3 linked regions of the Ovis aries genome follow. The protein of the gene in region 3 interacts with the protein of the main gene of each other region in a pairwise test. Links are inferred from orthologs where the notes say so. Each region holds a gene or a part of one and is shown on either strand. Other genes may lie near its edges.

Evidence for each region. The genes of interacting proteins can lie anywhere in the genome.
Region 1: the proteins of SF3A3 (region 3) and ZNF212 interact in binary tests that used the Homo sapiens proteins (3 or more experiments, as listed by UniProt). The two-hybrid records come from large-scale screens. The link is inferred for Ovis aries from reciprocal best matches to the Homo sapiens genes SF3A3 and ZNF212.
Region 2: the proteins of SF3A3 (region 3) and TADA2A interact in binary tests that used the Homo sapiens proteins (3 or more experiments, as listed by UniProt). The two-hybrid records come from large-scale screens. The link is inferred for Ovis aries from reciprocal best matches to the Homo sapiens genes SF3A3 and TADA2A.

Annotation. Positions count from the first base shown.
Region 1 is NC_056057.1:113,476,345-113,480,002, reverse strand, and holds the start of ZNF212 (zinc finger protein 212), read right to left. Parts: upstream 2,927-3,658; 5' UTR 2,811-2,926; coding exon 2,787-2,810; intron 1-2,786.
Region 2 is NC_056064.1:13,423,959-13,427,648, forward strand, and holds the start of TADA2A (transcriptional adapter 2-alpha), read left to right. Parts: upstream 1-764; 5' UTR 765-814; exon of another isoform or gene 815-876; intron 877-1,963; exon of another isoform or gene 1,964-1,968; 5' UTR 1,969-2,134; intron 2,135-3,690. Other genes in the region: ACACA (acetyl-CoA carboxylase 1), read right to left, coding at 99-136. UniProt on the Homo sapiens protein: Component of the ATAC complex, a complex with histone acetyltransferase activity on histones H3 and H4. Required for the function of some acidic activation domains, which activate transcription from a distant site. Binds double-stranded DNA.
Region 3 is NC_056054.1:12,722,703-12,726,351, reverse strand, and holds part of SF3A3 (splicing factor 3A subunit 3), read left to right. Parts: intron 1-711; coding exon 712-781; intron 782-3,297; coding exon 3,298-3,462; intron 3,463-3,559; coding exon 3,560-3,649. UniProt on the Homo sapiens protein: Component of the 17S U2 SnRNP complex of the spliceosome, a large ribonucleoprotein complex that removes introns from transcribed pre-mRNAs.

The DNA.
Region 1 (3,658 bases), on a different chromosome or scaffold from region 3:
TCATTCAGACAATAGTTGTTTAGATTTACCCATTTTAATGGATCATCATATTTTCTTATATTATCACTTTCCACTTAGGATAAGTTTCCTTGTACCTTAAGTACATTCTTTAGAATTCCTTTAATGAGTATACTAGTAACAAATTGTCAGTTCTGTCTGAAAACATTTTACCATTTTTTTAAAAGACACTTTTGAGAAGTATAAATATGGGACTACATAGTTATTTTCTTTTAGCCTTTCCACGATGCTAGTCTACTGCTGGTTGGCTTCCAGAGTTGCCGAGATGAACCTCATCAGTCTTAAGAATGGTTCATTTGAAGCCAATCTTTTTAAAGAACTGTCTCTGCATTGTATTCTGTACCTTCACTATCGTGTGTCTAGGTAGAGATTTCTTTATGTTTATCCTGATTGGGATCTACTGGGCTTCTAAGTATTTGTATTTGCACCAGTCCTATGATATCCTCAGCCATTAACCACTCATCAAACATGGCCTCCAGTGCAAACTGAGTGTGTTTCCTATTGGAATTCCAATAGGTTTTTCTTCTGAAATTGCAACCTCTGAAATCTCTGAATGACTAATTTTTTGTCCATTCATTTTACTGGCTTTTTCTCAGAGTTTTTCATTACTTTTTGCATAGCTTTTATTGGGAATTCATTTTTTCTTAGATTTTATCTATGAGAATTATTTGAAGTCTGAGCTAAGTGTTGAATACTTCAGAGATTTGAGGTCATATGAATTCAGGCAATAAGCCCACTGGAGAGTCAACATGAATTCTCAAGGGGCACCTTGTACCCATCTCTCGGCACCAAGGTTTGTCATGATTTTCTCTGCAATCACTCCCTAGAGGTGGGAGCTTACTTCCAGTTCACCCTTAAGGTTGCCCTTTGAAGTTTCAATGTTATGAGACTGGAGTTGAAGGCGTCTGAGACTTCCCATCTTAGGCTCTGAGTTTTGCCTATTTTCCAATGTCCCTTGAGGTTATAAACACTACCAGTGAATGTTCAGTAAATGTCCTCAAAGTTGGCTTCAGAAATCCTTATTATCTCTGAAGAGCTTGCTCTTTCACTTAGTCTTTGGGCTCTTTCATATGTTCTACTAACTACATTTCAAATATATTTGTTCCCTCACCTCAGGATTTTTCGTTGTTTTCATCAGGGCACCCTTTGGCCATACTGGCCAAACAAGAGTTACAGAATCTTATCTGAAGACGAGAAACGAAATATGCTTGAGAACAATTTAAATATGTTCTGCATTGATAGATCCATAAATTAATTAAAGCATACTTGGGGATTTTGGAGGACAAGACTTCCTTTTAACAAGATCTGTTGAAGACATGTAGGAAACTGCACTGACCAGTTAGGAAGAGGTATTCTGGAAGTTAGTAATGTATCCTCCAGCCCAACTTTAGTATTATAACATGGTCTGAGAAAAAAGGCAAGTCTTTGACTAGATCACCTTAGCTTAAAGGAATCAAATAAGGTAAATATAGTGATATCATGAACATTTGTGTCTTGTTGTCATAATTCATTGAAAACACACACTGTATTAAGTCTCCCAATCCTTCCCCTCAGTTCTTACCAACTTCCCACAAGAATCAAATACAAGGCACCCAGCTCACGGTCAAATTTTCACAACAGGATCTCCATAGCCCTCTCACATGATTCTGAAAGTGTCTTTAGATCAAGAAATGCTGCCCTGAAGACCAACTGAACTCCACCTGCCCTTTCTACAGCAAATCCTCTCATATCATCAAAGTAACCAACACTTCGTAATAATAAAGACTGTCAGAGCTGCCAAGAACCTTGTGTGATGCAAACTCAGTCGCTTCAGTCCTGTTCTAGTCTTTGTGACCTTATAGACTACAGCCCGCCAATATCCTCTGTCCATGGGATTCTCCAGGCAGAACACTGGAGTGGGTTGCCAAGGCCTCCTCCAGGGGATCTTCCCGACCCAGAGATAGAACCTGGGTCTTCTGCATTGCAGGCGGATTCTTTACTGTCTGAGCCACCATATCATCTAGTAACTAGCCAAACACTCAATTTACAGCTAAGGAAACAGAAGCTTACAGTGAACACAGTTACCTAAAATCACTAGACTGGATAGCTGAAAGCTGAGTTACGGGCTAAAACCCGGTTTCCCGACTCCGTGCCCAAGCTTCACGTCTTGCCATTCCCTGAATGGGAACATGTGGGAGAGGAGACGGAAAGATCGACAGCTTCCCAGACAAAAAGCCAGCAACTTACACAGTGAGGGTAACGCCTGCCCCCCAGGGAGAGAAAGCCCTGCCTTAACTTCAACCAGCGCGGCTGCAAACCAGTGCAGAGTCTGCAGCAGGAGAGAGCACGGCAAAAGGAACGAGGGCTGCCCCATCAGGCCGAGAACGAGCTGGTCACAGAGAAGCAGAGTCCTGGGGTCCCGGAACACGGGGTAAGTTCGCTGGCAATGACAGGGACTCAGGGTTTCCCATCCGCGCCTCCTCACCAGCCAAGAAACGGGCTCTCTTAGGGCGCGACGAAAACAGGTCGGGACGGTAGCAAATCCAAGAACATGAAACAAGCCTCGGCGAAGTTTCTCAGGAAGACGCCGGGGATACGGCCGACGCGGAGGGAACCTTCCGCGAGAGGGCAGGGCGCTGGGGTCCTCGGGGGAAGGTCAGCGTGGACCCGCGCCAGCCGCTGACTACCGACGCCCAGCCCCGCCGGGGCCGCACCTCGAAGCCCAGCCCCCGGCCAGGGGCTCCCCCACCCCCAACGCGCCCCCGGGCCCGCACGAGAAGGAATCTTACCCGAGCAGGTGCCAGCTCCGCCATGGCTGCCACCTGGGGCCCGTCTAATACGCCTCGGGTTGCGTGCGGGGTTTCCTGGGGGGCCCGCCAGCACCTCCCGGCAGCCGCCCCCAGCGCCGTGTTGATGCAAGGTGCATTGTGGGAGTCCGGCCCTCCCGGGCCAAGACGGGCACCACCCGCCGATCCTCGCCGCGCGGGGTTTCCCCTGGCGCCTCCGTGCGGCAGGAGGGTGAACAACACCTCGGCCTTCAGCCCGAGAGGGACGGACGACAAGGACTTTCCAAGTCAAGGGCAGGTTGCAAATTTAAGACGAACCTCCTATAAGCACAGCTTCATTAATAAACCCTAAACAAGCAATTGTCTAAGTTTTTATCGTGATACGTTTACCACTCCTTATCAAACACTTAGTTCCATTTAAATTCATCTCTCAGTGGTTTGGAGGGCTTCCCTCGTGGCTCAGACGGTCAAGAATCTGCCTGCAATGCAGGAGACCCAAGTTTGATCTCTGGGTAGGGAAGATCCCCTGGAGAAGGGAACGACAACTCACTCCAGTATTTCTGCCTGGAGAATTCCATGGACAGAGGAGCCTGTTGGGATCGCAAAGAGTTGGACACGACTGAGCGACTAACAGGAACACAACGCGTAGACCTCTGTTTCTCCAGCACTCTGGTAGGTGCTTTGACGGATTGAAAAAATGTATAAAGCTCACGGGGGAGAATGAAAGAAGTGAAAGTGGAAGACGCTCAGTCGTGTCCAACTCTTTGCGACCCCATGGGCTATACAGTCCATGGAATTCTCCAGGCCAGAATACTGGAGTGGGTGGGTAGCCTTTCCCTTCTCCAGGGGATCTTCCCAACCCAGGGATCAAACCC
Region 2 (3,690 bases), on a different chromosome or scaffold from region 3:
GCAGCCTCCTTTGTACAATACCTGGCATGCAGTAAATACCCAACAAATGGCAGCTATTACAATAATTAGTAGTAGTAACAAGAGATGTCGGGACATACCTAGCCCTCAAGATTGACATCAGAGTGGACCACCACATCCTCTCATCATTGCGCCTCAATCTGGGCCCCTGAAGCCCAAAGAGGGGATGGTTCTTTCCAAAGATGATAGTTTCGACGTTCCAGGAGCATCTGAATCAAACGTACCCCGTGTACCCTTAAACCATTCAGGCAGTCTGATTAATCCACGAGCGGCACTGCAAGACCCGGCTTCGAGAGGCCACCCCCGCTCGCCGTCCTTGGGCCCAGGCGCTTAGCCTCGATCTCCTTCGAGGCGGTAACAAGGGTGGGAGTGGGAATGTCAGAAAACACAAAAGCGGGGCAGTACTGGCCCGCTCCGGCTCAGCGCACTCTGGAGCGGATAAAACGGCGGCATCAGGCACCAGCCAGCCTACGGCGACCAGCAGCACGCCCTCAGGAAAAAGTAATTACTGGTCCCACTCAAAACTCGGGCAGGCGGCTCAGAGTCCCAGCCTCTCAGGCCTCTCTGCAAGAGGCCGGCGGCGGCCGCGCGGCGAGAGCCCCGGACGGGGGCCGAGCCAGGGGCGGCGGCAGACGCGCCACCCGCGACCGGGCTTCGACGGCCGGGGCGGGGACTGGGCGGAGGAGGCGGGCGCGCGGCCCGCTCGCGCCTGCGCCGCCGCAGGGAGCGCGCACGCAAGCTCGGGCGCGCGCGCGGCTGGCGTTTCCTCGGCGCGGAGGAGGGGGAACGCGCTGAGGTGAGGCACGAGGCGCTGCGGGGCGGCTGTTCGCGGGCCGTGAGCCCCACTCGCGGGACGAGGTGGGAGGCGGGGACCGCGAGGGGCGGCCAGGTTGCGGGCGGGCTGCGGGCCCCGGCGGCGTCACGGGCGAGAGGGGCGGGCGGGCGGGCGTGCGGCGCGGGCCACGCCGCGCGGTGGGGGAGGGCGGCGCGGGCCGGGACTGAGCCCTGGGGCCGCGCCCCGCCCCCTGAACGGCCCGCCGGGTCCCCGCCTCGGCATTCCTGTCGCTGCCGCGGTGGAGCGCGAAATCCCGTTGTTAACAAAGGGCCGACGTGACCCCTTGTTTTCAGATAGGCCTTCCAAGTAGATATTTCGTATCTTCAGAGCTGAGGTTGTCTGAGTCTCCAGTAAAATTACGCCCAAGATCATATAATTAATGAGGGACCAAGTGAGGCTTCGAATCTTGCTGCGAATCTCTTCCAAGCCTGCCCCTGTCCTCTGCACCACACCGACGAGGAAAGGCTCTTCACGCCCCTTTCCTCCTCCTCCCAGTAACTTCTTGGACTTTGGCAAATGTTAACTTGGAGGTAGCAGCCACCCTTTCGTGAATGTTAGCGTCAGAAATGTCTCCAGTGAGAAGAACGGAGTGGAGAAAGAATTTGTGCTTAGAACATGGAGCATTTATGAGGCTATGTACATCCTTTAGTTGACTATCTCTATTAATCTCTGTTGAAGTGACGCTGCTGTTCACTAACTGTAAAACATACTGCAAATAATCTTTCAGGGCTTCTTTCCCTCCTTGAAAAAGCTCCATGCCTCAGAAGATTGTAAGGATTCACAGATAATCCACATACAGTGGTGCCACAGTGTCTAGCTTAAACGTCAATAAATGTTCGCTATTTGTGGCCCAGACGGTAAAGAATCTACCTGCAATGCAGGAGGCCTGGGTTCAATCCCTGGGTGGGGAAGGTCCCGTGGAGAAGAGAATGGCAACCCACTCCAGTATTCCTGCCTGGAAAATCCCACGGACAGAGGAACCTGGTGGGCTATAGGCCATGGGGTTGCAGAGTCGGACATGACTGAGCAACTAACACAATATTTTGTTACTGAGTGCATAATCCCTCTTACTGAACTCGTGTTTCTTCAAACTCATTTTTTCGGGTCTAGAGTAGAGGGAGAACCACTCCGACTCATCCTGAAAAAGACAAGTTCATTGACAGTGTTATCTGAGCGTTGTATACACTTACTGCTACTGCTAAGTCACTTCAGTTGTGTCCGACTCTGTGCGACCCCATAGATGGCAGCCCACCAGGCTCCCCCGTCCCTGGGATTCTACAGGTGAGAACACTGGAGTGGGTTGCCATTTCCTTCTCCAATGCATGAAAGTGAAAAGTGAAAGGGAAGTCGCTCAGTTGTGTCCGACTCGCAGCGACCCCATGGACTGCAGCCCTCCAGGCTCCTCCATCCATGGATCCTCCAGGCAAGAGTACTGGAGTGGGGTGCCAACACTTGATGACTTATTCCAAGCTAAAACTGTCAGGTGAAAAAAGTCGCTGTCAGAGAACTAAAGGTAACCTTTTTGTAGAACTAATACTTATTTGTCTGTTGTTCTTGTTTAGTTACTAAGTCATTGGCAGACTTGAACCCATATCTCTGACATTAGGAGGCAGATTCTTAACCATTGAGCCACCTGGGAAGCCCTCATTTGTCCATTACATTTGTGTTTATTGAATTCTTTCTGCTTGGCACTAGGTACCAAGTACTTTAAGACATACAGATTTGTATTTGATGCGGTCCTTGCTTTCGTTAGTTTAGAAGTGGGAAGAATACGCATTCAGAAGTAATTCTCACAAAGGAGAATGTAAACAATGCCGAAAAAAAGAGAGAGAGAAAAGGCTGTGGAAGATTAGAAAGGGGGGATTTTTTCTTTGCTTAGTGTGAAATAGGAGTTCATTTATGTCTTCAAAAAGATGACTTGGTATATTGTACATACCTACTTCCCTAGAGGTCCAATGGCTAAGACTCTGCATTCTCAATACAGGGAGCCCAGGTTCGATCCCTAGTCAGGGACCTAGATCCTGCAGGCCTCAACTAAGACCTAACACCATCAAATAAATAAATACAGGAAAAAAAAAAACTCGTTCAAATAATAAATTAGTGAACAAAATGTATGTTGTGATAGGATTCCTAAGTTTTCTAGTAATAGAAGTTCATTCAGATTAAAGTATTATTGGAAAGATAGAGAAATGAGGGGGAAAAAGAAGCTTGAACAGTTGGGCCACCCTTGGGGATGGGAACCTCGAAGGGCCAGATCTCATGGACCAGATTCTCTGGCTAGTGAATGACTGAGCTCCAACTACCCTCTGTCCTTGTGTATCTTACTCAATATTCAGGTTTCTGCAAGACCAGATTGGATTGCTTTAGCTGCTGTAGAGGAGGAGGATAGAGTATTGTGATTCACAATCTCACCAAAGCAGTAGGAGATGTGGGAGAGTCCATTTTCCAAACGATGGAGGGCTAAGGAGAGAAGTGATGCCAGGCAGAGAAAATCAGTTGTTTATTAGAACTGTGTAGCCTTTATAGCGGAGAAGGCAATGGCAGCCCACTCCAGTACTCTTGCCTGGAAAATCCATGGATGGAGGAGCCTGGTAGGCTGCAGTCCATGGGGTGGCTAAGAGTCAGGCGACTGAGTGGCTTCACTTTCACTTTTCACTTTCATGCATTGGAGAAGGAAATGGCAACCCACTCCAGTGTTCTTGCCTGGAGAATCCCAGGGACGGGGGAGCCTGGTAGGCTGCCGTCTATGGGGTCACACAGAGTCGGACCCGACTGAAGCGACTTAGCAGCAGCAGCAGCAGCCTTTGTCGAGGACTTAGTATGGGCCAGGCACTATG
Region 3 (3,649 bases):
TCTAAAGTTGAAACTGTACCCCGGGTATCTTTTGTTACCTCTGTAGGTTATAGAGGGTAAGTTGGTTCAAAAGTGTTCGTCTAAGTGCATTTTTGCTAGTAACAGTTGAATCTGTTCCTGAGCCACATGCTTGTACAGGGTATTTTTTTTATATGTGATTTTGCTAATTCTCAAAACAAGCTTGAAAAGTATTTGTTATCCTCATCTTTGACAGATAAGGACTTAGAAAAGTTATACCTGTTATCTCACAGTTACTAAGTAGCAAGACTTGGGCCCAAGTCTGCCTCTTCCAGAGCTTGCCCTTCTGTACCACATTTCCTTTGTATAGGAATTTAAATACCTGGACATGCCTTTCACTCTCTAGAATGAGGTCAAAGAGGAAGCTTCTATGCATTCTAAGAAATAATCTCGAGAAAAATGCCTGGCAGTCCAGTGGTTTAGACTGCTCGCTTCCACTGTAGAGGGCTTGGATTTGATTCTTGGGAAGCTAAGATCCTATAAGCCACATAGCATGGCCAAAAATATTTTTTTAATTAAAAATAAATAAAGATAACAAGTCCTGAGCTGAACAGAACATTTGCTTTCACAACGTGATGTTTCTCTTGTGCTTGTAATTTTAGATGCTCCTATGGAATAAATATTCCCAGATATAGAGAACATGGCATTGGGTGAAAGAACCCTTAAGTGATACAGTTTGTTTCTTATTTCCAGAGACACTGAGAGGAACAAAGACATTGCTTTCCTTGAAGCCCAGATATACGAATATGTAGAGATTCTTGGGGTAAGTGACTCAGCTGAGGGCTGTAAATGCTCCAAGTTGTGGAAGTAAGAAGCTATGAACTTGTAGGATATTTTTTACGATTGCAAGAGAAAATGCATAGATCAAACTACTGTAGCCGAAAATTGTGTTCTCCCATGGTATTTAGCCCTTCACTGAGGTCCTGCTCTGTTGTTAGGGGTCTGTTGTTAGGTGACATTCCTAGGTTTGCTCAATCCCCTGAGGCTGGGTGGGAGAGTAGACTCCCCTCTCCATGTAGAATCCAGATTCTTTCCCTGAGCTCCAGAATAGAGCCAGGGGTGATCCAGGAAGCAGACACTCAAAAGGTGTGTAAGATGTGACTAGAGTCATCTGTTGGCTCCCTCTTTTACACCTGCTTTGGATAAAAGGAGGTTAGCCAGACGTTGGATACGTGGGATACTTATACTCTCCACAGGGAACTAGAACTGTGCGAGTGTGGGCAGCAGTCTGAGTTGCCAGTCCTCTGAAGACGACTGAGGCTAATCTTTGCCCCTGACATAGGTGTGCCCACAGCAGCAGGTCTTCATGAATGACTTTCTCTGAAAAGGCATAACTTACATGTTCACAGGGTTGGAGCAACTTACATGGTACTAGGTTTGGAGGTTAGTGGTGCAGAACTGGCTGTGAGCTGCTCCTTGAGTATTTTTTCAAGAAGAAGCTGAAGAGGGTTACAGGTACAAAAAGGCCTACCCAACCAAGATGCTTATCTTAGAGAAAGTTGGGGGAGGAGCAGGAGAAAATGATTCTCTTTCAGGGAAGAGAAGGTGGAAGATGGTCATTGTCTCTGGGAGTGCTGCAGAGAGGACCAGCCTTTCTGAGTGTCTGCTTTGTGCAGTTTTCAACTGCTCTCAGAGCCTTTTCCTTTCCAGATGCTCACATGGTGCTTTGAGTAGGTGGCTCTGGTTCAGATAGCTGGTCCACATGTCTTTGTCTCTTGCCCTTGTTTGATGACCACGTGTATAATAACTCATAAAACTAGAGTCATTGTTGGATCCCACTGTTACAACTCCTTTGGATGAAAGGGATTAGCTAGACATTGGATATGTGGGATACTTATACTCTCCACACTGAACTAGGACTGTGCTAGTGTGGGCCCTTGGACTGCAAGGAGGTTCAGCCAGTCCATCCTAAAGGAGATCAGTCCTAGGTGTTCATTGGAAGGACTGATGTTGAAGCTGAAACTCCAGTACTTTGGCCACCTCATGCGAAGAGCTGACTCATTTGAAAAAACCCTGATGCTGGGAGGGATTGGGGACAGGAGGAGAAGGGGACAACAGAGGATGAGATGGTTGGATGGCATCACCGACTTGATGTACATGGGTTTGGGTGGACTCCGGGAGATTGTGAGGGACAGGGAGGCCTGGCGTGCTGCAGTTCATGGGGTCGCAAAGAGTCAGACACGACTGAGCGACTGAACTGAACTGAGTGTGGACAGCAGACTGAGTCACCGGTCCTTTGAAGACAAATGCGAGGCTCATCTGTGCCCCTGACATAAGGTGTGCCCACAAGTCCTACCTTTGAGAGCATTTTGCTTTCCCCGCCAGGAGGTGGCACTATTCTCCTTGGAATTCCAGCCAGTTCCAGCCAAAATGAGTTCCAAAAGTTGATCTTGTTATGAATTGGTATTATTTTTACCATTGCTTCACCATTTACTGACACCTGTTGGTGTCCAAATATTATGCTAAATCTTTGAATGCAGTCGTGAATGTGACATAGCCTCTTATCCTTGAAAAGCCCAGTTTGTGACTGAGGGCTACAGATAACTGCAGTATAATGTGATGTTCACTGTAATACTTTGAGATTGGGTGTTCTAAGTATAAAGAGGGAGATTAAGATGTTCCAGGTGGAGGAAACAGCAAGTATGAAGGTAAAATTACTGTGAAAGGAAATAATGAGAAAACAAACCATTGTCCCTGGGTATGTCTGGTGAGGGATGGTGTAGTCAGAGAAAAATTTGGAAAGTTATTGTATGTTGAGAGGTTGGACCTTGTCCTTTAAGTAGCAGAAAGCAGATTAAAGTGTTTTTAAGCAAAGTGTGCCACGAGATTGGTTTTCTCCAGCAGATAAATCTGGGGACAGCATGGAAGCTAGACTGGAGTGAGGACAGACTCGGGGCAAGTTGGAACGTTGTCACCTTGGTGAGGGCAATAACAGTGGGAAAGAGAAAGGAAGACTGATTCAGGGAACGGTTTAGGGACAGAAGAGAAAAGACTTCTATTGTTCTGCGATTGTCTGTGGCCTCAGATGACTAACTAGGCAAGTGCTAGGTTTAACTTTTTCCGTTTTTTTTGTTTTGTTTTTACTTTTTCCTTTAAGATCAGGAAAGGTCTGCTGAAGAGGAATTCTGTTTGAAAGCAAGACTTTCCTTTTGTTGTGCAAGAAAGAAAACTTGATCCTTAAAAATGAAGGATCAACAAAGGTTATAGGAAAACAGGAAATTTCCCTTTTTGTTCTGCACTCTTCTCTCACCTCCCCTTTCATTCATGGCCCTGACATAGGAGCAGCGACATCTCACTCACGAAAACGTGCAACGCAAGCAGGCGAGGACTGGAGAAGAGCGGGAAGAGGAAGAGGAGGAGCAGATCAGTGAGAGTGAGAGCGAAGACGAAGAGAACGAGATCATTTACAACCCCAAAAACCTGCCCCTGGGCTGGGACGGCAAAGTCAGTCCTCCGCTGCCCTCTTTCCCCCTTCTCTCATTTTGGCAGCACATGCAGACACTGGTCTAATACTGTTTTTCTTTTGTCTCATTTCTTTTAGCCCATTCCTTACTGGTTGTACAAGCTTCATGGCCTAAATATCAACTATAACTGTGAGATTTGTGGAAACTATACCTACCGAGGTCCTAAG